3 linked regions of the Alligator mississippiensis genome follow. The protein of the gene in region 1 purifies or fractionates together with the protein of each later gene. This does not show direct contact. Links are inferred from orthologs where the notes say so. Each region holds a gene or a part of one and is shown in the gene's direction. Other genes may lie near its edges.

The links.
Region 2: the proteins of RNF146 (region 1) and HLTF purify together in Homo sapiens (affinity purification with mass spectrometry; 4 studies listed by BioGRID and IntAct, with this or other methods). This does not show direct contact. The link is inferred for Alligator mississippiensis from reciprocal best matches to the Homo sapiens genes RNF146 and HLTF.
Region 3: the proteins of RNF146 (region 1) and CHD1L purify together in Homo sapiens (co-immunoprecipitation; 3 studies listed by BioGRID and IntAct, counting the BioPlex papers as one, with this or other methods). This does not show direct contact. The link is inferred for Alligator mississippiensis from reciprocal best matches to the Homo sapiens genes RNF146 and CHD1L.

Annotation. Positions count from the first base shown.
Region 1 is NC_081824.1:110,581,720-110,591,971, forward strand, and holds the start of RNF146 (E3 ubiquitin-protein ligase RNF146), read left to right. Parts: upstream 1-5,635; 5' UTR 5,636-5,793; intron 5,794-10,252. UniProt on the Homo sapiens protein: E3 ubiquitin-protein ligase that specifically binds poly-ADP-ribosylated (PARsylated) proteins and mediates their ubiquitination and subsequent degradation. May regulate many important biological processes, such as cell survival and DNA damage response.
Region 2 is NC_081830.1:61,037,140-61,047,203, reverse strand, and holds the start of HLTF (helicase-like transcription factor), read left to right. Parts: upstream 1-5,758; 5' UTR 5,759-5,856; coding exon 5,857-5,867; intron 5,868-8,324; coding exon 8,325-8,523; intron 8,524-10,064. UniProt on the Homo sapiens protein: Has both helicase and E3 ubiquitin ligase activities. Possesses intrinsic ATP-dependent nucleosome-remodeling activity; This activity may be required for transcriptional activation or repression of specific target promoters.
Region 3 is NC_081824.1:251,905,852-251,915,864, forward strand, and holds the start of CHD1L (chromodomain-helicase-DNA-binding protein 1-like), read left to right. Parts: upstream 1-5,707; 5' UTR 5,708-5,777; coding exon 5,778-5,874; intron 5,875-7,986; coding exon 7,987-8,099; intron 8,100-8,879; coding exon 8,880-8,986; intron 8,987-10,013. Other genes in the region: uncharacterized protein LOC102572765, read right to left, coding at 78-115, 4,577-4,633, 4,753-5,043. UniProt on the Homo sapiens protein: ATP-dependent chromatin remodeler that mediates chromatin-remodeling following DNA damage.

The DNA of each region.
Region 1 (10,252 bases):
GTTGTTGTGGGAGCCCACTGGGCTTCCCCTGGGTCCTACTGCCCTTGGTTCCTGTCATTTTTGACAGGAACCAAGGGCAGATAAATATTAATTTTCTAAATGTTTTAGGGGCCCTGCGGGCCAGATAGAATGGCCTTGTGGGCCAGATCTGGCCCATGGGCCATATTTTGCCCACCCCTGCCATAGAGCCATGTTGCCCTCCACCAGTCATGCAGGGACCCTCCTTGGGTCTCCACAGATCAGTCAGCAAAGGAGAGAGAAGGACCTATGGATTGAGTGGATTATTTTGACCTTCCCTAGAATTGGTGACTTGTGGCTGAAGGGGTTGGATGCCTCACTCCAACTCTCCTCCCCTAGGGATGCTCTGCTAAAGAGCCTTCTTTCATTTCTGATGAGCTCTAACTCTTTTCATGAGAAGTTCAGATGAAAAAATCAGATGAAAGGGATAAATTGCATTGAGTCTGGGTCCAAGATACATTGGGGTTAAAATCTTGATTGTGTTCTCAGAATCATGGACAACAGACACATGGACTAACTTCAAGCCACTTATTAAAATGACATTGGTATAAAACCAATATGAGTGGAGAACAGCCTGATTCCCCCTTTCCTTCCTCCCTCTGCTCCCTCCCATGTCTTGTGAAAGAAGTAATCTAGGGGTCCAGGCAAGTATGTTTTCCTGCACAGACTCTCTGGGTGACTGACAACAGGTAAATAACTTCCTGCTTGTGTTTCTTAAAATAGAGCTAGCCACTTTGGCGTGGAGACCTAATGGAGTTCATTCAAAGAAATGCACAACATTTGTGCACAGGACTGTTAGTTTCTGAAAGATGGGGGCTAAATCCAGGGAATAAAGATAAATTTATAGCCTGCAATAAAAGGAACATGTATGCAAAAGGAACTGATAGCTCCCCATGGCTGCACCCCCAACTTCTGACAGAACTCTGCACAGGTCCAGTCCACCAGCACTGAGTTAAATTTGCTTGAAGCCAGGGGACTGCTCCAGCTTACACACAGCTGAAACAGCTGCTGCAAACAAAAAATATGTAGCTTCAGATGATGTGCAAACAAAGGCATCCCAGCAATGCCACCTTTTTGATGGCTATAGCCCACTCTATTAGCAAGGGGTAGGGCTGGGGAACAAGTCCCTACACTGGCTTTATGCTTCTGGAACAACAGCCTTATACTCTCGGTATCATTCCTCAGCCCATTATAGTGAGTATGCAGGTGATGCCATACAAGTGGCAACTTGGAGACCCCTGGCATTAGTCACTGTATACACACACAATGTAAAGAAGATCCCTGCCCCTAAGAGGTCTAAGTCCTAAACAACAGACAAAAGATAGCAAAAGACACAGCCTTCACCTCTGCTCTCAAGCTCCCTGTGCTTAGTATGTATGAGAGGAACAACCAGGGTTTAACCAACTCATTTCTGGATTTGGCACTTGCTGTTTGGGCATGGGTGACTGATGCCTCCTGAGTCTGCAGGGGGCACCCACAGAAGCCGTCAGCAGTGGTGGCAGCAAGGGATGGCCCTGCCTGGGAAGGCTTCCCCATGCCACCCCTACCAGTTGCCTATGTGTGTGGGAATGGGTGCATGAAGGCAGTCTCAAGGGTGTTAGGGAAGTGGTACAGACATACCTGATGGCTTGTATACTAAACAACAGGCACAGTGCTTGATAGTGGAATTGATTCTGTAATCCATGTGTGTGAACAATGTGACAGTTTATCTATATGGCAGAAAGCACTGAGTACAGAAGCTTGAGCTGCCTCAAAACAAAATAACTCGGGTACCAGAAGCAGTGTGACTGTAGTAACATGGTAGCTTTGCCCTGACTCATTTATCCTGTTTTTCAAGGTAACACAATTATACATCTCCTGGAATTTGAGTCATCTTGTTCAGTTCATCTTTAAATAAGCTAGTGTATGTCTATCTACATGACACTGCATTTTGTCACGTAGATGCACTCTTAATGAGGACAACTGAAATGCTCACCACAGCAATGGCTGTAGGAGTGAATCATTTATGAAACCATCATATGAAATATCTACAGGTATTTTTCAATGAATTAATAGCTTTTAAATTGAAACAGCATAATTAGCATGGTTTGCCTCACCTCACCTCAGTCCCTGGCAAAATCATGGAGCAGATCCTTAAGGAATCTATTTCTAAGCACTTGGAGAAGGTGGTGATTAGGAAGGTGATTAGGTGATGGATTTGCCAAGGGCAAGTCATGCCTGACCACCCTGATTGCCTTCTATGATGATATGACTAGCTCTGTAGATGCAGGGAGACCAGTGGAAGTGGTATATTTTGATTTTAGCAAGGCTTTTGATGTGATCCCCCACAATATTCTCAGAGGTAAGCTAAGGAAGTATGGGCTGGATGAATGGACTGTAAGGTGGATAAAAAACTGGCTGGGTCACTGGGCTCAGAGGGTAGCAATCAATGGCTCAATGTCTAGCTGGCATCCAGTATCAAGCAGCGTGCCCCAGGGGTCAGTCCTGTGGCCGGTTTTGTTCAATATCTTTATCAGTGACCTGGAAGATGGCATAAAGTACACCCTCAGCAAGTTTGTAGATGACACCAAGCTGCGGGAAGTAGTAGATATGCTGGAGGGTAGGGCTAGGATTCAGAGAGACCTAGACAAATTCGAGGATTGGACCAAAAGAATCTCATGAGGTTCTACAAAGACAAGTGCAAAGCCCTGGAACAATCCCATGCACCGGTACAGGCTGGGGGCTGACTGACTGGGTGGCAGCTCTGCAGAAAAGGACCTGGGGGTTACAGTGGACAATAAGCTGCATATGAGACAACAGTGTGTTTGTTGCCAAGAAGGCTAACAACATCCTGTGCTGCATTGGTAGGAGTGTAGCCATCAGATCAAGGGAAGTGATTATTCCCCTCTGCTCAACACTGATTAGGCCACATCTGGAGTACTGTGTTCAGTTTTGGGCTCTGCACTACAAAAAGGATGTGGACAAATTAGAGAGAGTACAGTGGAGGGCAATGAAAATAGTGAGGGGGCTGGCACATGACTTATGAGGAGAGGCTGATGGAACTGGGTTTATTTAGTCTAGAGAAGAAAAGACTGAGATGGGATTTAACCTTCAACTACCTGGAGGGTAACTCCAAAGAGGATGGAGCTAGACTGTTCTCAGTGATGGGGGATAACAGAACAAGGAGCAATGGTCTCAAGTTGCAGCAAGGGAAGCTTAGGTTAGATATTAGGAAGAATTTTCTCACTGGGAGGGTAGTAAATCACTGGAACAGGTTGCTGAGAGAAGTTGTGGACTCTCCATCCTTGGAGGTTTTTAAGACCTGGCTAGACAAAGCCTTGGCTGGGATGATCTAGATCAGGGGTCAGCAACCCCCAGCACGCGTGCTGATCATGGTACATGAGGCCATTTTCCTCGACACACATTGGGGCAGGGGAGACAGCAGATGTTTGCAGCCTCCTGGCTGCAGCCGGCCCCAGCTCTGGGTAGATGCTGCCAGCCAGGAGCCAGAGCTGCTCCCAGCAGACAGCTCAACAAGCCCTGCTGGGAGCAGCCTGGGCTCCATGGCTATCAGCAGCTATCCAGAGTCGGGGCCACCTGCAGCTGGGAGTACAAACAGCTGCTGCCTCCCCAGCCCCAATGGGCCAGCACCTGCTGCCTTCCTGGAGCCTGGGGCTAGGAGACAGCTGAGGCTGTGGCCGGGGCAGGAGGGCAGCAGCTATTTGTAGCCTCCTGGCTGCAGTCAGCCCTGGCTCTGGGTAGCAGCTGATAGTCAAGGAGCCTGGGGCTGCTCCCATGGAAGCCCTGCTGCAAGCAGCCTGGGCTCCGTGGCTATCAGCAGCTACCCAGAACCTGGGCCATCTGCAAACATTTGCTGCCTCTTTGCCCTGGCCCCAGCCCCAGCTGCCTCCCAGTCCCAGACCAGGCCTCTGCCTCCAGTGAGGCAGCAGATAATGGCAGTTCTCCCTGCTGTGGTGCCCTTGCCACTTCTGCAAAGCAGGGTTGGAACCTGGTGCAGCAGGGCACAGAGGGGAGGCACAGAAAGCTGCCTGTTCCTAGCTCCCCGCTGCCCTGCCACACTTCCCCTGCAGGTGGGGGCAGCAGTGAGGGGCACAACCCTGCGCTGCTGCCCACTCTGCTCCCATACACACAGGGGAAGTGTGGCAGGGCAGCAGGGAGCTCTGATCAGGCAGTTTTCTGCCCCCCATCCCACTGTGTCCTGCTGCTCCGGGTTCCAATTCTGCTTTGCAGTTTGCAGCTGGCCCAGGTTTTGGGTAGCTGTTGACAGCCACAGACCCTGGGCTGGGGGAGAGGGGCTTTGGCTGGGGGGCAAGGGGCATCAGGGCTGGGGGACAAGTGCTTTGGGTGGGAGGCAAGGGTCATGAGCGGGATTGGGGGGCAGGGGCCTTGGCTGGGGGGCACAGGGCTTTGGGCTGGGGGGCAAGGGCAGCAGGGCTGAAGGGCAGGGGCTTTGGGTGGGAGGGAAACGGGCACAAGCAGGGCATCCTGCCATGTACCCCCTGCTTTCATTTTGTTTTTGCATGTCCATCTTGTCCCTCAGAAGGTAGAAACTAAACTGAGGCCGCTTACCCTATGGCATCACAGATTAGCTTCAAATTTTGTAGGTTAGAACACAACACTAAAAAAAAAAAAAAGAAAAGTTATTGGAAAACATCTGATGTGTGGTAAACTGCCACCCTACTCTACCCGTTTTAATTTAGTATAATTTGTTCCTCTGTCCAAAGCCTCATTTAAAAAAAACCCCACCATATTCACTGGAATATCCAGTGTGAAATGTCCTTATATCTTTTATGAAAAAACAGCAAAAGCATTTCACTCATAAAACACTAGTCAGCTGGCACGTTCTGTCAATTAGCTTTTATGTCCTAAGGTTTGAATTTTACCACAGCAATGGAAGGTGTTAGTAAGAGCTCAGGAGAACAAGCTTTTCTGGTGTTCCCATATGGCTTTTTAGGATATCTTATGGAAACAGGTTTTTGTCTTTCCCTCTCAGTTGCTAAAATTCTAAGCAATCATGTTTTAAGCTTAGGGTGAACAGGAAGATTGTTACAGTTTCTTTGTTTCAATGTTTCCTTTGTGCTTTATGTTTCCTTCTCTTGTCTATCTGCTTTTCTTTTACTTTTCTTCACAAACACTGCATGGAGCCACATCAGTGATCATTTTATAAAAGTAAAACTGTAAACATTCTAAATGTAGCCATAAATATAGCACTTCCCTGAGAAACAGTCTGTTGTTTCAGACACAAGGGACTGCACTATTAGACCTATGTAGTCAACTGTTCTGTTTCAAGAATTGGGAACTCAGCCAAGAGTTCAGTAGCACATATATCTGGTGAGTAGGGCGTGGTTGAAAGAGTTTGAGTCCTCTGCAAACACGTTAGCAATGAATTGTGTTGCTGGATATTTATAAAAGCTTCAATACTGTGTTCCTGTTTTAAATATCTCCCTCAGCTGGAAGTCTAACATGCTGATGTACAGTTTCCTGGAAAATGATTGTATGGACACACCCAATGAGTGCTATTCTTATTACAAAAACAAAAAATGCAGTGTCTGTTGTTCGTTTAGCATTCACTATGGCCTCTATCTAAGACCTATTGTGTTGCCATTTCTTCTGATATCTGGTAGTTCTTACAGAGTGCCAACTTCTGGAGACCTGTGATAACGTGAGACTCTCAACTGAAAAATAAATTCCTTCTCTCTTTTGAAGAAAGAAGTAAGCTTGAAATCATTAAGCCAGGCGGATGAAGACTGAGGAGGAGAACTTGGAGGAGAAAAGGTGAAATGTTTTATTTGTGAAATGTTAAGGCTTTAAGGATGCCTGACTCATGATTTTGGAGTACTTGGGGGTTGGCAATTCAGTATTCAGACTGTATCTTTTATTGACAGGGAATGGGTCAGGAAGGAGTGAGATGGGTATGCAAAGGTTATGATATAAATGGCAAATGTAATGAAAGGCTGTTAAATGAGAAGACATTTAGAACATAGGATTGAGTATTCTATAAGCTAAATATAAAAATGATGCCTAAGGTACAGGAAGTTAGATTCCCTTTCACTAACTTAGGCCTTGTGTTTGTATAGTCCTGATTCAGCAATTGGTGGCTAGCAATCAGTGTATCTGCACCAGGGCAGGCAAGTAAGTTTAGACATTATACTTAAGCAAGTATAGACATGGCAAAGCAGGAATTTGAATTATGTGAACTAATCCAAGTGAAACCTGAATTTTAGTGATGGAACCCCAAGCAGACAAGGGGGTTTTAGACAAGCAGACTCTTTTAGCTCTACCTACATTCACTTAGAGTCTTATGAACACTGGTGGAACAGGGGTTTTGGGAAAAGGGGGGGAGGGTACAGGAGCAGTGACCAGTACTGTAGGAGTAGCTGAACCCTGATCTTGGCTGCATCCCCCCACCAGGAGGGCAGATCATACCACGGGAGCAGCAGTGGGGTCTTTTTTTAAGCCCTCAGACCAGGTAAAAATCCTGTGCCTCTCCATCCATTCTCAGCACCGCCTCTCTTCTCCTCTATCCTCAGCTGTAAATCCCCTCCCATCCCCTCTCCTGCTCACCACTGCTGCTGTTCCTGGCTGATGAGTCACCACTACTGCATTGCTGCTGGGAACAGTAGCAGCAGTGACAGCACCGGGCAGGTTCCTTCTCTCTGCCTGGTGCCCCAAGGAGTTCCCTGCCAGCAAGAAGCAGGTGTGGAGTGGTGAACCCATCCAGTGTTGCTGCTGCTGCTGTCCCTTGCTCAGCTCAGTTGCAGCAGCTCTGGAGCCTTTCCCCCCTGTGAAATCAAGTGGAAGGGGTGTGGCTTGGGAGGGTTGTAGGGCGAGGAACTTTAGAGTAATTGGAGCTGGGCTCAGCAGGAGGCAGCAGCAGCAGCTTGTGGGTTCCTCTGCCAGGTGCTTGCTCCTGTGTTGGCAAGGAACATCGTGGGGGGCGGGGATAGAGGGGGGATGGGGGAAAGGAGGGACATCAGATAGAGAGGAAAAACCTGCCTGTTGCTGCTGCCACTGCTGTTCCTAGCTGGAATGGGGCGGGCACAGTTCTGGGGCTTACCTAGGTTTACCATATTCTCAGGATCAAAAAAGACACGGGGGGGGGGGGAGGGCGAAGTGAGCTGAGGGGGGTGAGGGGGCAAGGGTATTTGATTGTTGAGGGGGCAGTGATATGCCTGTGCCCTGCCTCTGCCCCTCACTCCTAAGCCCCTGCTCCCCCAGCCCTGCCAGTGCCCCTCACTCCAGACCTGCAACCCCCTGTCCCCCAGCACTGCCAGAGCCCCTCACTCCCAACCCACAGCCCTGTCCCCCCAGCCCTGCTGGTGCCCCTCACTCTCAACCCAGAGTCCCCTGTCCTCCCAGCCCTTCTGCCCATGGAGCTCCTGCCTGCATGCACAAGCACACACACACACACACTTACTTACTTACTTACTTACTTGCCGGAGTGTGGGCACAGAGCACGTGACCCCTGACAGCCAATCAGCTTGCCCGCTGCTCCCAGCCTCAAACATCCAAGCTGCTTGTGCCTGGGAAAAGCAGAGGCAAAGCAAAAAACCCAGACATTTGCTCGCATTTTAAGAACCCACCCAGACATGAGGATGGGGGCCAAAAGAGGACATGTCTAGGAAAATCTGGCCATATAGTAACCCTAGGCTTGCCTCCATCAGCCAGGGATGGTTGTAGTGGTAGGCAAGGGATAGGAGTGAATGGGAGAGGAAAGGACATGCTGCTACGGACAGAGATGAACAAAGCAGATGCCAGGAGTGGGGGGTAGGGTGGGGAGTGAGGGGCGTATGACTCTTATCTGATTTGGAAATTTAAAAAAATGTCCCTGCTGTTGCTAGTGTGGTGTAGTCCAAAAGGGGTGTTTGCCCATGCCACTACAATCCTTCTGGATCTGCCTCTCAGGAGATGTAAATGAATGTAATGGTGTCTAAGTGATACCATCTTATGAATCACATCTGAAGACCACTACACACTAGTTAACAATAGTTCCAAAGAAAACTGGGATTGTTAGGCCATAGGGAGAGAAAGTGATAGAAAAGCTCTAATTTTGACTCTCTGCCACCAGACTCTCTTTATAATGGAATGGTCTTCTTATGGTCAGAACCATTTTGGACTAAAAACGCAGTACAAAAGAATTGGAGGATCTTGGACCACAACCTTCTGAAACTATAAAAAAGAGATCTGGAAATCATCCACATTTGGTTAGACTTCAGTGCCAAGGAAAACAAATACATTTGAGAAAAATCTTAGTATAATATGGCAGGCAAGCTTCCTTGGGTAGATGTGATATCTTTTATTAAACCAACTGAGTAGTTACAGCAATATTTAGAGGAAAAAAATCTACTGAGTGATAAGCAGGGGCTCATAAAACACGGACAGGGACTTATATTCATGTTGCATGTTTTCAGCTTTTCTAAGCTGTATCATTCAGATACCATGTCATTCAGATGAACAAAGCAAGCATTTGTTTTAATATTACAGCTTTCAGGCTCAGTATTTTGCCTCTTACTCTAATTTCTAGTACAAAGCAGACACCAGTATTCCTCCTAGCATTTCCTTTGTGTCAAGTAGCAAATAGCCAGCTGTTCTCTCTTCATGTCATGTAGTGGACAGAGTTAGGGTAGGGAGGAATGACCTCGTCTGAGAAAGGGTAAAGCCGAGTGCATTGTTTCCATTCAGAGGCAGACAAGGTTCAGGTTCTTTGGGTGAATCTGATATCTTTTATTAGACGAACTTAAATAGTTGGAAAACAATTTTTAAGCAAACTTTTGGGTCAAGCTAAGGAAGTTTCAGCAGTTGATGTGTGCTCTTCCTAGATGGAATGAAAAGTAAAGAAGCCAGGGGCTAGGCTGGTATACATACAAGACAGGCAGTCAGTGAAGATGTAGACTGAGGAGTCAGTGGGTGAGAGACAGGCTGGGTGGGAGGGAGAGAAGGGGGATGAATAGTGAAGAAATACCTGGGGAGTCAGATGTCAGGTAGGTTATAATGTGCCGTAAATCCAATGTCTATATTTAGTCCATGATTTTTTGTATCCAGGAGGATGATGAAGTGGAGTTCATAGACTCATCTCTGGGAAGTGTTTTGTAAGTTTCCTTTAAGGATCAGGACTGAGATTGGAGAGAGAGTGGTTTTCTTGTGAGAAATGTGCCTCCACAGGTAATTGAGTATTCCTGTCTTTGATAGGTTTCCAGTGCACAGCTGTTGTTTGGTCTCTCCTACGTATTTTCCATCAGGGCATTTGGTGCATTGGATGAAATCTATTACATTTCTGGAGGTGCAGCTATAAGATCTGGGAATACTGATGGCTCTGTTGTGGGGTGTAGTAATAGTGGGGGTGGTGGAGATGTGTTGGCAGGTTTAGCATTTCTTGTCATGGCATGGTCTGGATCCATTTGGTGTGTTCTGGGTCTGAGGAATTTTGCTTCTGGTGATGAGGTTAGCGAGGTTCAGTGCTTGTTTGAAGGCTAGGATGGGTGGTTCTGGGAAGATCTCTTTAAAAATAGGGTCTCTCTCTAGTATGGGTTGCAATTGTTTGAGGATTTTCCATATGGGTTCGAGGGAGGGGTGATATATCATAACCAGCAGTGTGTGATTTGTGGTGGGGTTTATTCTGTACTGCAGCAGTTCTTCACGTGGTATCCGGGTGGCTCTTTCAAACATGCAATCTATCTCTCTGGAGGAGTGTCCTGACTCCCCAGGTACTTCTCCACTGTCCTTCCCCCTTCTCTCCCCCCCACCCAGCCTGTCTCTCACCCATTGACACCTCAAACTTCATCTTCACTGATTACCTATCTTGTATGCATACCAGCCCAGCTTCTGGCTTCTTTACTTTTCATTCCATCCAGGAAGAGCACACACCAACTACTGAAACTTCCTTAGCCCGATGAAGGGTTTTTGAATCCGAAAGCTTGCTTAAAAATTGTTTTCCAACCATTTAAGTTCATCTAATAAAAGATACCAGATTCACCCAAAGAACATCGTCTGCCAATGTCCTTAGACCAACACAGCTACAACCTACACCCTTGCTTCCATTCATTCTCTTAATGGGCCAGCATCTGACTGCAGCAAGCATAACTAGGAGGTGCATGCATACAGGGTGCATTTACATATGCATATTAATGCGTACCAATAAACTCTGGTGCATATTGCGCGTAAGTTTATTGCTCCTGGACACCATGTTTATATATGGAACACAGCACCTTGAGCTAGGTTGGAGCAGTCCCAGTTG
Region 2 (10,064 bases), on another chromosome or scaffold:
CAACAATGTGCCAAGTAGCTGCCATGCATGGGATCTTATATTTGCTCCCATCTATACAAGACCATGTAAGTAACTACCATTTTTAACATGCTGTAATAAAATTTTTAAATCTCTCCACTGGATTCATAGATTGTTAGGGGCTGGAAGGGAACTTGCAGATCATCGGGTCCAGGCCCCCATACTAGGTATGAAGACAACTGGGGTTAAGTGACCCCAATGAGATGACTGTCCAGTCTCCTCTTGAAAACCTCCAGGATACGTGACTGCACCACCTCTGGAGGGAGTTTATTCCACAGTCTGGACACCCTGACTGTGAAGGAGTTTTCCCTGGTATTAGGCCTGAAGCAGCCTTCCAGGAGTTTGTATCCTTTGATCCTGGTTTCCCTGGGGATGCCCCAGTGAACAGTTGTTCACTGAGCTCCTGATGCACTCCTCTGATAGTAAGCCGCCATCAAGTCCCCTCTCAGCGTTCTCTTCTTTAAGCTAAAGAGGCTCAGGTCCCTCAGCCTTTTCTCGTATGGCTTGCCTTGCAAGTCCCTGATCATGCGGGTGGCTCTTCTCTGGGCCCTCTCAAGTTTTTCCACATCCTTATGGAAGCGTGGTGCCCAGAACTGGACTCAGTACTCCAACTGTGGTCTCACCAGTGCTGAGTACAGCAGGAGTATCATGTCCTTAGTTTTACACAAGATGCATTGGTTGACACATGTCAGCATGTTATTTGCCCTGCATATTATTTACAGACCACCACCTTGCACTGATTGCTCATATTCATGCAATGATCAGTCATTACTCCTAGGTCCCTTTCGGCCCTGGTGCAAGTCAAGCTGTTACCACTGAGTGGTATGTATGTTGAGGGTTGTTTGCCTCCAGATGGAGCACCTTACACTTGCAAGTATTAAACTTCATCTGGTTCCACTCTGCCCAACTCTAGCCTGTCTGGGTCTGTCTGTCTCTGCAACCTATCTTTTGACATGATCACACTGCCCCATAACTTGGTGTTTGTGAACTTGGCCAGTGAGCTTTTCACTCCCCCATCCAAATCATTGATAAAGAAGTTGAAAAGTACCGGTCCAAGTACGGTCCCCTGAGGGACACCACTGGCCACTTCACACCAGGATGACACAGATCTGTTCATGAGAGCTCTCTGGGTCCTACCTTGTAGCCAGTTTCCCACCCACTGAACCATCAAGCAGCTGAGCCCACAGTCTTCCAGTTTTCCCACGAGGATATCATGGGATACTAGATCAAAAGCCTTTTGGAAGTCTAGGTATATACCTTCTACCTTGTTTCCCATGTCCAGGTGGTGAGAGACCTGGTCATAGAAGGAGATGAGATTGGATTCATTGGATTCAAAGGCAAAAGTTACAGATGATGAAGCCATTGATAAAGAAAAGCTGCAAAACAGTGCCATCTTGTGTCAATTCTGTGTGAAACATTGAGCAGATTCTCTCAGATGGGAAATGAATTATTATTTTTTATTTATTGCAATGTTCTTATTTACTAAAATTTAAAAGTTAATAATAGGAAGGATTATGTTTGATTCACTTAACATGCTGATTTGGCTGCTTCTTTTAATCTCTACAAAACTCCACAATTTTTTTTTTATTGGCTTAAAGAATAAGGATGTTTTTCCTTTTCCACTATGAATTTAATTTTTTCAAATGAATCTGAATAAAAGCCTCAAAATATAGGCTGTAGTTTTCAGCCTGAGTAGGGACTTTGGCCAGGTACAAACATCACACTTTTACCATTATAAGGGCACTTTTACACATGGGGCGGGCATTGCTTTAATTACAGCAGCTTTAGTTAAAGCACCCCTGCCGCTGTTTTGAAGCACGGGGATGCTGATATATGAGATATGGGAGGCTGCTGGAGCACGGTAATTACCACACTGCAGCAGACTTAATTAATCGATTACAGTGTGTTGGAACGGCCTCTGCACTCCTGTACAGGTACCCAAAGTGACTGGAAATCAAACTATATTCATAACAGAGCAGAAGTTCAGCATGCATAGACTGGTGTAAAAATGATGGAACCAAGTCTAAAATTCTCCTCCCCCCTACCTCCCCCAAGAAAGGGTGCATCCTGTTCGTTACTGATTTAAACTATGCCATTTACAGAAAACTGCATAACTTTGATTGATTCCACTTTGGGCTCTTTGAATGTCTATACCTAGCCCTTGTATACACCGCAGCTTCAGCTGCTCCCATGCCTTTTTTCTCCAAAAAAGTGACAATAAAACTTCATTAAAAAACAAATGTGTGGGGAAATTACTTCTGATACTAAGGGTGAACCTAAACTGTTTGGCATCTGCTACATATTTTTGTATTCCCCTCTGTGTTTTTTATAGCTGTGCTGTTCATTCTGGATGAGAGAGCAGCTGCAATCCTGCCCTTATATTATTGATATATGGCAGTGATTATGATGATGTCTTGAGGCCTCAGTCAATTTTTTCCAAACTATACACATATATTAGAAATTCCCTGCCTTAGAAAGTTTACAGTTCGAAAGACAACAACGGGCTACAACGAACACAGGAAGGAAAGCATGGGGTAACAGTAAGATCATAAGCATTAGAGAAGGAGGGGGAAGGTAATTCTGTTTTACAGAAGATTTTGATATTTGGAGTTCTGATTTTCTCAGACTCAAAATGACAGCAAAATTTTTCACAGTCCTCTGCAAAATGGAATGGAGCAGCAGCTTTTGGAAGTCACATGGGTTTCTGACTCCAAAACAGACTGACTGATAGGCTGCCCTGAGCCTGTGAAGCTCTTGGGAAGTTCTGTGGCTCGGTCTATCTTGAGGACTACCTCGATATAGGAGGTGCTAAGAGGTTGAGAGTCATTTCCAGATTCTTGTTCCATGTCAAATTACCAGGTAAGGAATGTGAGCAGGCCATTTTTTGATGAAAGGCCGGCTGAAATTTGTTAACAAATGAACCATCTGTGTGGAATGCTTTGATTTCAATGAATTGATAAATCCCTATGGGAAATTGCTTTGTTAGAATTTTCATGACTAGTTCACAAGTAGCCTCCTGGTATCCCATCTGCTTGTAACTTTTTGTGCAGAAAAGCTGGGAAAAATGCCTTTTAGAATTTTTTTCTGTATGTGGGACCTAAAATGTGCTATGAACGAAGTGAAAATGCACTATGGTGTTCTCTACTTGTATACCCATTGGATAAGTGCATAATTTGCTTAACTATAATGAAGAATTGAAGTTATGTTAGATATTAAATGGTCAACAAACTTTTATGTATTAATTTCACTGTTTAGAATGCTTGCCAATTGTTAATCCGCACGTAAACCACTGGAAGATTTTATGGGTAAACAGTTGAAAAACAATTTTCTCTTTTGACACTGATTTTTATCTCTAGCTAGAAAGCAAAATAATTTTTGTTAGCTAGCAGGAAAGTTTATCATTGAAGACAATGTTATAAATCCTTTTCTAAGAGACCAATTATTATTTCACTGGATAGCATTCTTTTCCTTAAAACTTCATGAAAACATCCTTTGAGTTAGTTACTTGGTTCTTGAAATTAATTACATGCGTCTTTGAATGGTGGAGGTTTTTATAACATGGAAAGCAAAAAAAGCTTTAAAAAAAATCTATCCTGTTCTTTTTATGCATTAATTGTGTGTGGAGGAACAAAATATTGTTTTATTTTCCTTATCATGATTACAGTGATATCTGTTAGATTTGAATTACAGCTTAGTCAGTTACAGCTGTGGCAGAAGTTGTGGTCAGCATCAGATCAATTTCACTTATTGTGCAGCCCATAAAGAAACCATTTTTTCGAAGATTGCAATCCTGCAAGGAGAGAACTTTCAATTCTTTTTGAGAAGCAAGCTAGGGAGTGACCAGGGGTTCTATCCCTGGGCACCAGCTTGCGGGGGAGGGCACAAAAATAGCAGCCCCTGCCCTCCTACCTGCTGTGCCACCTGCCACAGCTTCCCCATGCACCACCATCCGAGGGCCAAGAACTGCCCAGTTACATTTCTGCCTTTTGATGATGCTGTTGGGGGTTCAGTGTAGTAAACACCTCCACGAAGTAAATCGCCATCACACAATATCCCCAGTATATAGAAAGAGTATGTGTTTAGCCCTCACTACACATTCAAGTAATGGTGCCATGAGATCTAACACAAGATCTACACAGTTGTGCCTCCTGCCATACCATGCATGCATGGCAGGAGACATGATTGTGGGATCACACATTAGATCTTGTTATTGCATGTGTTGGGGGAGCCTGATCCTGCACAGGTAAGAGGCAAGCTCCTGCAGCTGGGAGCCTCCTCACTTGAGGAGCTTCCACCTGTGGGGGCACCCTACACACCCTTGGGCCTGGGAGATCATTGCTGCTGTGATCCCCAAGGCTCAGGCATTGGCAATGAATAGGGGGTGCATGCAGGTGCACGTGTGCCCCCTGAGATTGGCAGTGCACGTCCTGAGAAAAGCACTGCTGACACTGCTGGCGGCGCCTGCTGGCGGCACCTGTGGGCGGTCACTGCTCAGCACCACCCTGCCACCCCTGCTGTTGACACCACAGCAGCCACCTGCAGGAGCTCCCTGCTTGCCGCTGCTGCCACTGCCTGCTGGCAGTCGCCGTGCCCTGCTCAGCCTCCAGAGGCATGCATCGTTCATGGGCTCAAGGATCCATAAAACCCCAGGCCTGGGGGACTGTGGCTGTTGGAGCTTTTATGGTGGGCATAATCAGCTGACAGGGCTCCAAGCTGCAGGGGACACCCTGCTACTTGTAAATTAAAGCTGGATAGCAACCAGCTGTAAAGTTAGTACACATTTTCAAGGTCTAACTTTATAGCTGTTTGGAGCTTTGTAGCAAGTACTTTGCACGTGCCCTGGAGGCTGGGGGGGGCATGGCGACTGCCCACAGGCAGCGGTGGTGGCGGCGGAGGCATGGTGAGTGCTGACCATTGGTCAGTGATCACATGCAGACGCTGCTGGTGATGGTGGTGGTGGGGGGTTAGTGAGTAGTGACCACCTGCAGGTGCCATGGCAGTGGCGGCGCTTCTTTCAGGGGGTGCACTGCCAATCTCAAGGGGTGGATGCACACCCGCATGCACCCTCTATGTCGCCAACGCTCAGAGTTGTGAAAAACTTAAAAAAAATGCGTTCACGTGACCTCAAACATCCTGTTTCTATGTTCATGCGACACAGGCGTGGCTCACAATGGCTGTGTGGCACGCCCAGCTGTGGGTAGCACCGAGCTGGCACTGCACATGAGAGTGCATTATATGACGCAGCCGGTCATGTATGTGTTAGGTATAACATCAGGGCTATAGGTTGTATCTGTGTTGTCTAAGGACGTAGACAAGGTTCTTTGGGTAAATCTGACGTAATTTATTCGACCAACTAAAATAGTTGGAAAAAATGATTTGCAAGCTCTTGGGGGAAAGCTTGCAAAGAATTTTTCCAACTTTTTCAGTTGGTCGAATAAATTATATCGTATTGACCCAAAGAACCGTGTCTGCCTCAGGCACGACACGCCATGTGGCCGCAAGGGCCGCGCCCGCCGCCAGCAGCAGCGCTACGACGACCCAGTGAAGAGCGATCCCTTCTTCACTCCATCCCGCAGGGCGAGGGGGGCGGGGCTAGTCTGAGGCCTCCGCGGGCGCCGGACCGGGTCCTTATAGGCCCTTTGAGAGCGCGCGGGCAAATGAGAGGAAGTCCCGCCCCCTCCCCATTGTCCTGTTCTCATTGGTCGAAATCCCTGGAGGCGCGGGCGGGGGTTGGTGTCGGCTGCTGTCACTCCGGTCAGTAGGGCCAAGCAGCCGGTGCGGGGCAGCGGGAGATTGCGGGTTGTGAGCGCTGGTGCCTTTCTCCGCCTCGGGGCCTGGATGTTCGCCAAGTGAGGCCCACGGCCGGCCGGGGGGCGGGCGGGACGGAGCCGCGGGTCTTTCGCGGGGGCGGGGCGAGCCTGGCGGGGCGGGGCTCCGGGTGCCTTGGCCCTGCCCTAGGGGGGGCCGGGCGCACTGAACTCTTCCGCCCTACGGGTTGATCCAGGGTGCGGGGTCGTGCGGGCTGGGCCTATGCTTCGGCCCCTGCACATGGCGAGCGGGGCCCGCGCCAGCCCTGGGAGCTGCGTCTCGCCTGGGCCCCATTGCGACCAGTTGTGCGGCGACGCAGCGCGCGGGCCTCGAGCCCCAGGCGCTGGGTGACGTGGCTCCGCGGCCGTACCTTTGATACCCGAAGGCAGGTGTCAGCGATCCCTGCACGGCACAAACCAGAGCCGGTGCAGACCAAGCCCCAGTAAAGCTGTAGCGCAGTGACAGGGACTGAGAGGCCCGCACGGAAATGGGCGCGCTGGGAGGCAGCTGCAGGACGGCCTGGCAAGTTCTTGCAGTGCAGGAGTGGCGCTGAAGGTGTGATGATGGTCCAGATAACATGGGAGGGGCCATGGGTTTCATGGGTGATGGTGTTTTATTGGGCCCAGTATGCAGTTGGTCCAGTAAAAGATAGCACCTACAAAAATCCTTGCCTCTTGCAGAGTCTCTTTGGCTGGTTAGCGGTTCCCACAAACAGCAAGAGACCTTTATTTCCACACCTGTCATACACGAGCACTTTAAAGCATAATCTTAGGATTCAAAAGATTCTGCTGGGCCAGGCTTCATTTGAAAGACTTGTAAGTAAGGTTGGAAACATGGTTCATGTTTCTTCATGCTTTCCAGCCTTGATGAAGGTGGGAGAATAAGAGGGCACTGACATTCAGGAGCAGTGTTCTGTGATAGCCAGTGCTCCTTTCTTTCCAGCCTCCTTTAGGAAATGAAGTGCAGGTGGTCTTGTGTCAATGTACAGTAATTATCTTTTTTAGGGGGGTCTCGTTTGCATATTAGAAAAGCATGTAAAAAATTAGGCTTGCCCCCCTCCTTTCAGAATATTGGGTGGGAAGACTTATTTTTGGAATGGCTCCACTCTTTTCTGTCCTCCTCCCCCTAGTTGCAGCAGGGAGAAGAATAGAGTAATTTTGTTTTCTTACAACTTTTCTGTGGTTGCTGTAAGAAAAGACATTATTTTCCCTGCTGTGGAAGAAGTTAGAGTTTTCTCCCTTTCCTTTCTGCCTCTGTCTGGAGACTTTCTTCCTTTATTCTTCTGGTGTTTCTATAAAGCAGACATAGAAAGAAAATGAAATCTTATCACCAGTTTCCTTCCATGTAATACATTCTAAAATGCAGATGTGGTACTGATGCCGTGGTCTTGTAGTCAGCTGAAAACTGCATCCTCTCAAGGAGCAGTGCCCAATTTTTTCATCCCATGGGCTGGATGGGCATGGGGTGGGGATGAGGGGGGACCTGATCCCATGTGCCAGATTTCTGGGTCTGCCAGGGGCTGCATAGGGCAGGCCCAGCCAGAGCCTCAAATGGGCTGTGTGGCAATGGCCTTGGCCTGAACCGGATGCGCAGGGCTAAGAAACCTGGCGGGGGGTGCCACTGCTCTCTTGCCAACAAATTTCATCAAGTTGCACATAACCCTGTGGGCTGGATGCCAGGGCTCCTTAGGCTGAATTTGGCCCACAGGCTGGGGATTGAGCACCCCTGCTTACAATCATCAGGAAAAATTACAGGTAATTTAGTCCTCTGATGTTCTTGAGGTGAGATGTAACTTACCTCAGCAGCAGTTTGAAACAGGTCAGGATCCTGTTATGTTGTCAAATCTCTTTTACTGTGTATTGTGTGAAACTGATGTAAAACTAATTTTATGTCTGACTTTCCTTTAAAGTAAGTATAAACTATGTGAAAATAGTGAGGTAAAACAATGTGAAACTGATTTTGTAAGTATAATTTTACTGTAAAAGGGTAGAACTAGAGATGCTTATAAAAGAAAAAATGGTAGTAATTAAAATATTCACACTTGTTTTAAAACAACGTTGCTCAGCCTCTTGGCCCCCCAGAGGCCAGACCAGTGGTGTGAGGCCAGTCCATTGGCCAGATTGGGCCCTGGGGCCAAGAGCTGCACCCTCTCTGTCCCATGTGCTGTGATTGGGTCCCTTGTACCTGGCATTATCCCTTGCATGCTGGGATTAGGACCCAAGTGTGTGGCACCGCTCTTTCTGCCTCGTGTGTCAGTACTGGGCCCAAGGACCTGGCACTGCGCCCTTCCAGCTCTGCCTGGGCTTCCCATGGGTTCAGAAATCTGGCAGCAGGCAGCCGGTTCCACTGCTTCTCCACTGTCAAATTTCCAGACCTTTAGGGATCCCCAAAGGCTAGATGACATGGGGCTTGCAGACTGGTTCTGTCCCATGGGCCAGGGGGTTGAGCCCCACTGTTTTAAAACATTATCAGGTAACTTTCATTGTGTCCTCTTGCAGAAACTATGGTTCATCTACAGGCTATGGAGGAAATAGGACTTATTCCTGTTCTTCTTCTGGTGATGTTGATTCTGCTCTTGGGTTTGAAGACTTTCTGTATACAGATGACACTTCAGGGACAGATGAGGATTTAGATTTGTTTGTCCTGTTTGGAAATCTGCGAGGAAATGTAGTTGGATTACGCTACTACACAGGAGTTGTAAGTACAGCGTGAATAGTACAATTGTATCATACTAAGTAGAGCCAGTTAAGAAAATGGAAGAAAAGCTATGGTAAACTGTGACAAAGGTTATGTTTTATGGTATAAAAGCTTTCCAGAATTGTCTTACTGTTCCTAATATTAACAGAAGTGGGGTTTCTTTCATTCATTTACTGTTATTCATGTATTTAAGTTTTGTCACAAATATGTTTGTGGCTACTCTTGTTCCTGATCCTGTTATGAATGTTTTATTGATGGTTTTGGTTAGAGGTGCACCAATATATTGGTGCAATATCAGATCAGCACAGATAAAAGGAAAATTAACATTATTGGCTATTGGCTTTTTTTTTGGCTGGTGTAGCTGATAAAGTAACTAATAAATGCTGTATGCATGCACGCAGCCACAGCATACTTGCAGCCAAGAAAACAGCATGGTAGCTTGGAGACCAGAGCCCTGCAGGTAAGTTTGTGGAGGGTAAGGAGTGTGGGGAAGGGAAGGGGCATGGGGGGGGGATCAGATTGAGGCCCCTCACGGTGAGGGAGAAAATGGGGGGAGAGAATGGCAGGGGCTAGAGCAGGGGCAGGTGCTACGCAGTCAGGACAGTGAATGAGACCCCAGGGCTGGGAACAGGATGGAGCTCTGGGGAGTGCGGGGGGGTGGGGAGGGGCAGCTCCCCACTGCTGCGCATGCTCCCCAGGGGAGGCATGGAGGGGCATGTGCCTCCTCAGATTTGTGCACGGGGTGGATGTGGGTTGCCTGCTGTGGGCTCAGGGCTGTCTGCTCTGCTGCCTTTTTACCCCAGAAGCTGTGTGCTGGTTGTGTGACCCCTGCCTGTCCAGCAGCAGTGAGGGTGGCAAGTTGTTCCTGCAGCCGCGAGGTGGGCTTGGGTATGTGGTGTGGCCAGCGCGCGGCTCCTGATGCAAAAGGCAGCAGGGTGGAGAGTCCTGAGCCCACAGCAGGCAGCCTGCATCTACCTCTTGCACAAATCTGACAAGTTTTAGTTTAAGCGCGGCTGCCTCCACTGCCATTTTTAAGCTCCTGGACTGATAACCTGGACGAGCCATCTGTGGCTCCAGCCCACTCCCTGCCCCGGCATCCCATTCACTGCCCTGGCTGGGCAGCAGCCCCAGCTCCAGCCCCTGCCCCACTCCCTCACTGTGGGAGCCTCTATCTGCCCCTTCCCCTTCACAGACTTACCTGCAGGGCACTGCTCTCTACGCTGCCCAATTGTGGTCCTGTATATCAGTACAGGATTGGATCAGTATCAGCTGATATGCATGGTGAATAATTGGCTATCAGTATCGGCCAAGAAAATCTCGATTGGTGCACCCCTAGTTTTGGATGATGAAGGTTTTTTGTGATGTAGTGCCAAATGGATAGGAAATTGAATGGAAATCCACAAGACTTGGATTCTGTATCTCTGGCTGTGAAGCAGAGCATACACGCACTTAAGTTTCTCCAGTGTATGTGTGTGGGGGGAAAAAAAAGGAATATGTTTACATACCATCGCTATATAAAAAGCTTTAAAAACTGTAAATTA
Region 3 (10,013 bases), about 140 Mb from region 1:
TCTAAAGAAGTTATTCCAGATAACCCAGATTTGTTAGGCAATGCAAAGCATGTAGTGTAGATATAGAAAATTCTTACCTCATTAAAAATGGTACTAAACAGAACTGCCCGAAAGCCTGGAGAAGAAGACAGAGGAGATTAAACAGGCAAAACAATATACGACTACCATACCTCCTTTCTCCAACTCTGGGAATACTGGCCAAGCTCACGCCTACTCCAATTTCATAATCTCCCACAGCAAAAAACAGTAGAGACACTGTTTTATTTTAGCTTTGATTCTACTACAACATTAAATTTAAAAAGAGAGACAAGAATCTCATTTATACAACATCAAGAAGCAAGTCAGTGCTTAGCACTATCAAATCTGAACCCGTTTACTAAGTCGTGAGAATTTCTCATGCGTTTCTTTAGGCTCTCCACTAAAAATACTTCAGTGCTAACACCCTCACATTGCCCCATCACTCAGAAGCATGCAGTCCCAGATAACAAGGTTAAGTTATCCATAAGACATCTATAGATTCCACCCCAAAAAATAAAATCTGCAGCTTTGAGCAGAACATGCAAATTCTGGACGAAAAAAAAAAATGTTAGCATATTCCATATGCAAGCAGTTTCCCCTCAATGCCACTGACACTTTTACCCTATTAAACCAGTGAAACTGGCCTCCTTCTCAATCCAATCAGCTCAGTAGGGCCATGTCCAGACACGCAGGCACGTGCAGTTTGTGGCTCCACAAACCAAACATTTGGAATATTAAAATGGGACCAGTGCTGCAAATTTGCAGGGTGGGGGCAAAAATTGCTACCAGGATTTCTAGGTAGCAAAAAAAAAAAAAAAAAAAAAAAAAAAAAGGTACCAGGAAAAAAAAAAAAAAGTGCAGAGGATAGGAAAATACTGTGCCAGAACAGAGGCTTGATCCTCCAGCGAGGCACTCTGACAGCTGGCCAGAGCATCTCTACTACCCCATTTGCGACCCTGCTGCTCCAGCATGCCAGGAGACAGGAAGGGCTGGATTCCGGCAGTTTGCCCAAAGCAGGACAATATATCCCATAACAAAGCACACATAGGCCACGTCCAGACAAGCACAGACATGTGGAGCCGCACATGCAGGTGTTCCTCATATTCTTACTTTGCAGTGTGAGGGAGAACGGGGGGGGTTGACACTGGGAGATTCCCAGGCAAGAAAACCCCCAAAACGGGGTGGGTACATGTGGCAGCAACGCATGCCACCCAAAACCAGAGCCTGGCTGGCTGGAGCTATGCTCCAGCTGCCACCCAGGCTTTCTGCCAAGGTGACAGCCCCAGGAAGCCTCCAGGAAAGGCTACTGGGGCTAGCACAACTGTTGGCCCCAGCCTCCCCTGCCCCACCTAGGATAACTTACCACGCGCCAGAGCGCGTATGGCATGGGTATTCCCTGGGGACAAGGTTACTTGTCCCCAGAGAAACAAGTGTTCCCCCTTGTCTGGACATGCCTATACAGGGTGTGTGCAGAGACAAAAAGTAGTGGCACAAATCTGTGCCGCTACTATTTGTACCACTGCAAATACACACCCCTACACATCTCAATGTGGCTTACATGTTAGAATTTTCTCTGATCCAGACTAGGAACCAAGGCACTCAAAATTGTCTTTACGCTGTTGCTAATGTGTCAGTGCTAAAGGTTATAGATATCAGTTGTTTTCTATATTGAAAATGAAAGACTGCTTAAAAGCACAGGAAGACATTGTGGGGTGGGGAGGAAGGTGAGGGGGAAAAAAAAAAAAAAGAACCATTATTATTTGCTACAATTTCCTATACACTTCTCTAATACCTGCATTTAGCAGGTAGAAATAAACAGCTAGAGCAGATTATTAGGTTTACACTTATAACAGCTTCTGAGATCTCAACACATTTTACCAACATGAATATGGATAGAGAGAGATCACCATGAGGTTTGGAAATATTTTCACTCCCCTGCATTTTAAAAAACGGGAAACTGAGGTACAAAAAAGGAACATGACACAAGAGTGGCAAAGCTAGAGGAAATGAGGAATCCTAGCTCCCACATCACCTGCTTTAGCCACAGTACTATACATCATGAGGCTTCCCCACAGCACCACTAACAAAACCTGTAGCTGATTAACTTCTGCAGTTGTTAAACTCAGGGTCAATGCACAAAATTAAGTTGTGAATGAAGACAGTTCCCAAACTACCTGTTCTTTACATGTGGCAACATGGGCAAAATATCATTATCTTGCTAAGACAAGACATTCTGCAAGAAATTTGTTTTGAAATAAACATCATGGGACATTTCCATCGAGTCCCATACCAAAATCACCTCATACTGTGGCTCAAATAACTCATGTTTGTCAGCACTCCACTGTGTGAGAATTCCATGGCTGTGCCAACTTCAGAGGGAGAAACAACTAGAAGAGCAGGAATAAATCAATGTTCCAGAACAGCTTAACTGGTGAAGCAAGCGTTTAATCTTTGGACAGAGATCCTTAGGTTTCTTGGTTGGGAACACAGTCAAAACCAGCTTAACTGTCAGGATTCTTTTCTGCCCATTATACTTGGCTTCACTTCTAGACTTTCCCTGCAGATGTCAGAACATGTGGGAAACAAGCATTTCTTTTTACCGGGCCCTAGAGAATGCGTGGATCAACAGCTTTTCGTTACAACATCCCACTAGAACTGATCAGACACTGAATTTTTTATTGCCATGTCCCCTGAACAAGTAAAGGGGTAGCTTTGGCTTTATTCCAAAAAACAAAACAAACAAAAACCCAACTCTTTCACCTGCCAGCCTTGCTTAACTGAGCTGTTTAACATTCTTCTGCAAGCTAGGAGGAGAGAGTTGGTTGCATCTGTCCTGCTTTCAGAGGCAACAGCCTGCTTTGTCAGATGCTGTCTAATAAGGAGCCATTCAGCCTGCCTTTTGCAAAAGGCTGCTGTTTGCTGCCTTGTTTACATGCCAACATCTGTACCATTAAAGCTAGACCAGGTGAGAAGATTGTTCCCCAGGCAGCAGATTAGTTAGGCTGTTCTTGTTTTTGGAGCCTTCAGCAGCCGCACACACAAAGCCAACATATGGATTACATTCATTCGGGGATACAGGTTTTAGCCATGTTGATCTACAGTCAAAACCAGTCAGAACTCTTTGTTGAGGCAATATCTTTCATTAGGTCAACTAGGCTAAATTTTGCTTTTTTGTAAAGCCATCTACTTGGTCTAATAAAAGATATTACCTCTACCAAGAGTTCCGACTGCTTTTGCCTGTAAAATCAACACGGCTAAAACCTGTATCCCTAAAACAATGAAGATATCATAATCAGCCGTTTTTAAATGAAAAAAAATGAAGTTAACAAAAAAGCAGCAAAATTCAACACCTGAGACCTGGAGGCTACCACCCCCATGGGCTCCAGCCTTTTGTTCAAGCCAAATTTGCATACCTGCAAAACAGACTTTACACAACAGATATAAAAAAATAAAATAGGAGATGCAAGACTTTATATAATCTTGAGAGGTTTTTTTCTCCCCCCCTATAACCATATTATTTCAATAAAAGTTAGAGAGGTAGAGGGAGATTAAAAACCTTGCCTGCAGTGCTGGAAGCCCAAACACAGTATCTTTGTACAAGAAGCACTTGGTGTTCTATAAACAAACAGCAGATCACAAGAAAATGCAACTATTTAGATAAAGTCACATGCAGAAAGAAATCCTGGCGAATCCTTGAGGCATAATCAGGGGATTTCAATGGTATTCACAGTGCTAACAGACTGCCTGCAGCCAACACAAACATAGTTTGGTCTGTAGCATATACTCCACATTACAATGCATAAATAAGTAAGTAAAAAAAAAAAAAAAAAAGCAATAATGATTACAGTGAACCTTGACTACAAGAAATTGTATGTTTCACTCCCTACTGGAGTGCATTACCTACCCTGGCTAGGCCACTGCAAAGGACCAGCTTATGAGGTCAGGTCTGCAGCTAGGCTGGGACAAGCCAGCCACATAGGGGCCACGTAGGCACAACCGTGGTAAACATAGCAGATTGGTAGTGGTCATAGGGGTAATCACATTATTGGGAACTTGGAGACAGCTTGCTAACAAGAAGCTGCACCTGGACAGCGTCCCTCCTCCTACCGCTAGCCCTTGGTCTCAGAGAGATGTTACTGTGCCGGGGGGGGGACTGTCAAGACCCCCTGATTTCTTACAAGCAACAATCCCCGACCGACAAGCCTCTGGAGTGGTGTTCTACCCTTTCCCTTCACGGGGTACAGGTGTCCTTTTAACCCACATCAAACGCTCTGCTTGAGCAGCCTGAGCAAAGATGCAGAAGCTGTCTTACCCACTTAGCGTCAGGGGCATTTTGATGTGGATGGGTTAAGCAGTGCCTGCCATCCTGGCCCTTGCCCTTTACACAGGGTTTGTTTTTTCTTGCTCTGACCAGCTTTGCCCAGGGCCAGGGCTAAGCCCTGCACACAGGAGTAGGCTGGACCCCCCCCACACACCTACCCCAGCAAGCTCAGGACAGCATGGGCCCTGCCTGGGGGGCACCAGGCGGGCAGCACAGACAGGGCAGAGTGGTACTCACCGTGTTAGCCAGGTGGACAAGCAGCCGCAGGGGCTGGCCAGAGAGCCGGGGGCCCCACTGCAGGGAGGAGAGGAGAGGAGAAAAGTCACAAGGGCTTGCAGCTGGAAAGGCACCAAGCCGGGGAGACCCCACAGGTGCCCCTCCCCCAGCCCACCCTCTAGGGCTCCTCTACTTACTGCGTCCCGCGGGGGCTGGAACCCAGCGGCCCCGACCCGCTCCCGGCACTGGAAGACGGCGCTGGGGGCGGCGGTGAAGCAGCGCACGAAGCCCAGGTAGAGGAGGAGCAGGAGCAGCAGCGCCGCCGGCAGCAGCAGCGCGAGCGCCATGGTCCCAGCGGGCAGGGCAAGGGCGCAGGGGCGGTGAGAGACCCGGGCTGCGACGGCGCGGCAGCGGCGGGGCCGGGATTTGTGGCGGGGAAGCACGTGGGACTGCTGCGGCCCGGGGGAGGCGGGCAGGGCAGGGCACATCCCGGGCCGCTGCAGATGCAGCACTGGCTGCTCTCGCCAGGCCACGGCCAGGCGCCCCCCGCCCCTGCCCGGGTGATTGCCGGCCGCGCGGCTTCCTGGCTACGGGGGTCTGCCCCGCTGGGCCTCACGTGCCCCAACCTTACACGGGGGCGAGGGGGTGTAGGAGGGTGTGGGAGAATAGGTAGGGGGAGGGGTGTGGGTATAGAAGGTGCAAAGGGGTGCGGGTATAGGGGGCATAGAGGGTGGGTGTAGGGTATAGTGGGGTATGGGTGTAGGGAGTGTGTGTGGAGGGGGCGGTATAGGGGGGTGCGGGTGTAGGGACTGTGGTGCTTCTTCTCTGGTGACACTTGCCCCTTGGGGTCGTTTGCTGCTGCCGGCTTCCCCCGTGTGGGCCCCGCTCCGCGGAGGCCAGGAGCGCAAGCTTGGTACCCGCTGGAGGCGCGCGAAGCGAGCGGCTGGCATTGACTTGCACCCCGGATTGGAACGCCAGCTCGTACTGTCACAGCGACTGCCCAATCAGCCACCGCCAGCCCCCAGCCAGCCAATGGCAGTTGACGCGCGACTGGCCTATGGGGGGAGCGTTCCAAGCCATCAGCCAATCCGCGCCTCGCTGCGAAGCCAACTCGATACAATGTTGCAATGCGGCTTCCGGCGCCTGAGCTGCTGGGTGGTGCTGTTGCCCCGGGGGTGGGTAGGGGGCTGCCGGGCCGAGGCAGCGGGAGGCGGCCGGCGGGATGTCTCGCTTCTTCCAGGCTTTTTGCAGTAAGCCCCAAGGGCGGGCAGGCGGCGCGCCCTTGAAGGAGGAGGACTTGTACCACTGGGGCCTGGCAGGTCAGTGCGGCCGGCGGGGCCGCCCCGAAGGAGGGGTTGCCTGTTTGCGGGCTTAACTTGGCTGGATCCGTCAGGGACTTGCCGGCCAGGCCCGGTGGCTTTAGGGTTGGACAGTATCAACCTCCTTGCCTCAGGGTGCTGCGTGGAATCCTCCCCCTTTGACAGTCCTGCCTTGAGCAGGGGCTGGACTAGGTGACCTCTTGAGGTCCCTTCCAGCCCTGCTCTCTTACATAACCATAATGCACCTTGTGGGCCAGGTTCTTCTGTCAGGTAGTGGGTGGAGCTCCAAAGTAAAACCTTCATTCCTTCAGTGGAGCTTCATTGGCCGCATGACATGTCCTGTAACCTCCCTGCAGTTGCTTAGCCTGCGTGGAACAGGGAGCAGAGGTTGTTTTTGTGGAGGTCCTCTGGAGCTGAGCTGCTGTAAGTGGGTCTGTTTAAAGGGAGACCTCTGAAATGAAACAGGTCTCCAAAATCAACTTATCTGCTGACCGGCCTTGTAAGCTTGATGTGGAGAAGGATGGGCTTCCCTAACCTGGGAGAAGGAAGAGGGTTTTGGTTATTTTAATGAAAGGAGAAAAAAATACACACACACACACGCTGTGACTGCTGCAAGGAGCTAGGGTAGAGCTGTGATCCACTGCGTGCACACCCCTGCCCAGAGCATACAGGCTGCAGATTGTGACTCTGCCCCAGCTCCGGACTACGCTGCCATGGCTGCAAGATCCCATCCCGAATGCAAAGCATCTCCATGTCTTGCCACGTGCCCTGCCAGCACTGCTGGGGCGGATCTCCATGAAAACCCCTGCCCCATGCTATCACAGTGTGGCTGCTAAGGTCCCCATGGAAACCAGACCTAGGCTTGTGGGCAGGGGCTGCTGGGAAATGAAGTCCAGCTACCGGCCAGGTCCACCATTTTGCCCATCCTTGATATCCATAGAGTGCCAATTGCTTCTGCTGCTTGACTTTACTGCAGCCAGCTGTGGAGGAGATTGGTGCAGGGGGGTTCTGCAGCCCTGCTCCTCTGGCTGCTGACAAGCAAAACTACGTGATATGGGTGCTTGTGCAACTGCCACCCCTGCAGTTTTCACCCCCCTGTGGTGTAACACATACACATGACATGAGTTTTGCTTTCAAGAATTTGGGGTGCAGTTGCCCCCAAACCCCTGCACCAATCTTCTTGAAACTTGGCAGGCTTTGTGGCCTCAGCAGGGGCTACCGCCCCTGCAAGTTTCAGACAAAAAGCAACAAAGTTATAGATATTTCATTGATTCCCCATTATACCCTATGGCCAGATCTCTGAGGCGGCTCATAAGCTTCGGACGGATCAAAATGGGAACCCGGTCCGGAGCTCCGGAATGGATCCCTGACATCCAAAGCGGCTGGATCCGAAGCCCGATCGAATAGCTGTCCGCTCACACAGGCCTAGTGACCACTAGCTAAGTCGGGTTGCTCTGCTTTGCGCTACGGTGATGATATAACCCTGCATGATTTTTGCTCTATATTTCATAGGGAGCATTTCGCAGAATTTGGAATAATGGCCACGTCCTACCACCCAGTCCTGTGCCTTAACCACAATAACATCCTTTATCCTCAAAGTAGATGGACAGTTTGTAATAAAATCACCTCCAGTTTTTAACAGAAGGCTTTTACTCCATCCCCTTCTGTGAGAGAGAAATTCTGAACTTTGCAGCATGCTGAGGAGGGATAAAGCTATGTTCTGACAGCATGAGGGCACATGGCCCTCCAAGGAAGGGGTTTATCAAGGAAGATGACACCCAAGCAATTTCCTTTTGTTTGATTTCTAGGAGGTTATGGAACTGGTACCTTTACTCACCTCACCCACAGCAGTCCAGCTTGCCAGGGAGGCAAGTTCCAAATCATTAAGGGCTTTCAAAGTTAAAATTGGCACTTTTTGTTCAGCCTGGAAGCTTATTGACAAACAATGCAGATTGCGAAGCACCTGTAAAATATTTTTTTGGCATGAAAGCTGACTTGGTAGGTAGGCCTAATCTGCCCTGTGTTTCTACATCTGCAGGATTACAGGATGCAGTGCCAAGTAGGTTGTGTGACAGTTTTGTGTAGCTTTACCAAATCACTTTTGTGTTTTAGGTATTCAGCTACGTTCCTACCAAGTGGATGGGGTGAACTGGCTAGTACGATGTTATGAAGATCAACATGGCTGCATCCTGGGCGATGAGATGGGTCTTGGAAAGACTTGTCAGGTGCCTCTTTTTATTTCTCCATGGACAATCAATTTTGCCTATATTTTGTCTTCCCAATGTTCCTGCAAGAGGTAGGAGAGGAATTCCTTAAAGTTTATTTAGATTAGGACCAAATATTGATGTCCTTGAGAAGAAAAAGGCCTAAATCTTGATTCCTTCTGCTCTTGCTCAGTTAAAACACTTTTGTTTTTTAAAATAAAAGGCAAAATTATATTCTTAGGGGGAAGACTGCTTTGAAGCTCCTGCTTAGCTGACAACACAACTAGCTATTAGTATCATAAGATGTTGCTTTCGTGACTCTCTGGGTAGATCATTTTACAAAGTTCAGTTCTCAGAGCAGAGATGGTTAGATTTGTATAGCTGTTTCATAGCCTTTTTTTTCCTTGTCAAAATAAGCATTCCACTTCTGTTAAGAATTTGGCAAAGCGAGCTTGGTGTGTTTCTTCAACTGACAGTATTCCCTGAATTTTAAGTGCTATGCAAATTACTCACTTAAAATTAGCATATAGTACATTGCATTCTTTCAACGTTACAAGGGAAAAACATTTCTGAGTAGGGGACAGAGTGCTCCCAGATTAGTGATAGAATTGGACTGCAGCTGCAGTGCATTTGATTAATTCTTTTCCATAGTTTGCAGTGCTTATGGTCAGGGTTTTGCCATAGTGAGCCTGTCAGGAACCAGCAGCAAAGATGGTGTTGGAGGGAAGGTTTGTATTTAGATTGTGGGGTTTGTTTTGGAACTGCTTATTATTGACAACAATTCTTTTCTTTGTGTTCCAGACCATTTCTCTGCTTGTGTATTTGTCTGGAAACTTTATAAACAAAGGGCCATTTCTTATTCTTTGTCCTCTTTCTGTACTGAGCAACTGGAAGGAGGAACTAAAGAGGTGAGCCTTAGGATTATGATGCAGACATTTGCTCTCATATCAGTGAGTTGCAATGATCACTTAGCATATGCTTACACGGCTTATGGTTTTTTAAAATTAAAGGCAAGACACTGAAACATCAAGTTTGTGGCACAGAAAGGCACAGTTCACAGCTAATGCATGGTTTTCTGTGCAACCTTGTGTATTGGGATGTCCCCTGTGGTAGGGTGCATAGTACTGGGTGACTCCTGGCACAGCTGCCCCCTACTTCTCCTGGCTTTCATTGTTAATTGTTGTAACCTCAATGCTCAACATCCCACTGGAGGCAAAGGTTAAGGTCCAAATTAAGCCTGCCCACACACAAGTGTATTTACTGTGTGCACACGGATCGGGTAAGGAGAACACCATTACATCTGTGTGTGTAAGGCAGACCTGTGTGCACTAGATCAGTTGATGGTGTGGCTATTATTCATGTGTTTTAAAACTGCGTGAGTGTTAGAAGAAAAAGACTGCTTTTGAATTGTGGGAATTTGCTGTCTCTCAGGAGGATGTGATAACTGATCAGGCCATGAAGTGAACTGATGTAAATCAACAAGAATTTATTTATTGTGAGGCATGGCTCAGGGAATATACATTGCCATCTATTGTGAGAAGGATATTCAGATATTTATGGTGGGGTGAGGAAGTAAGAGAGAACTCCATTGCGATGACTTCGCTCTCTTTCACAGTACTCCTTCCCTCTCCATCCTATAAAGATTATGAAGGCAGTTCTGTCTTGTGCAGAGGCAGAAAAAACTGGGAAGGATATCCAGCATCTTTTTTCAGTGAAGGATTTTGTTGGTCCTCCTGGAATGTTATGCTGGGGAAAGAATTTCTGTTGATGTTCGTGGGAGCCTTGCCTGGGTGAAGAGCTCTGGACTGGGTTCTATGACTATGACTTCAGTGGGAGCTGTGGGTAGTTAGCATCTCAGGATTGTTCCCTGCAATGAGTGTTCTGGATAGATGTAGATTCCTGCTTGTGCCCAGGGGATCCCTACTACCTTGTAAA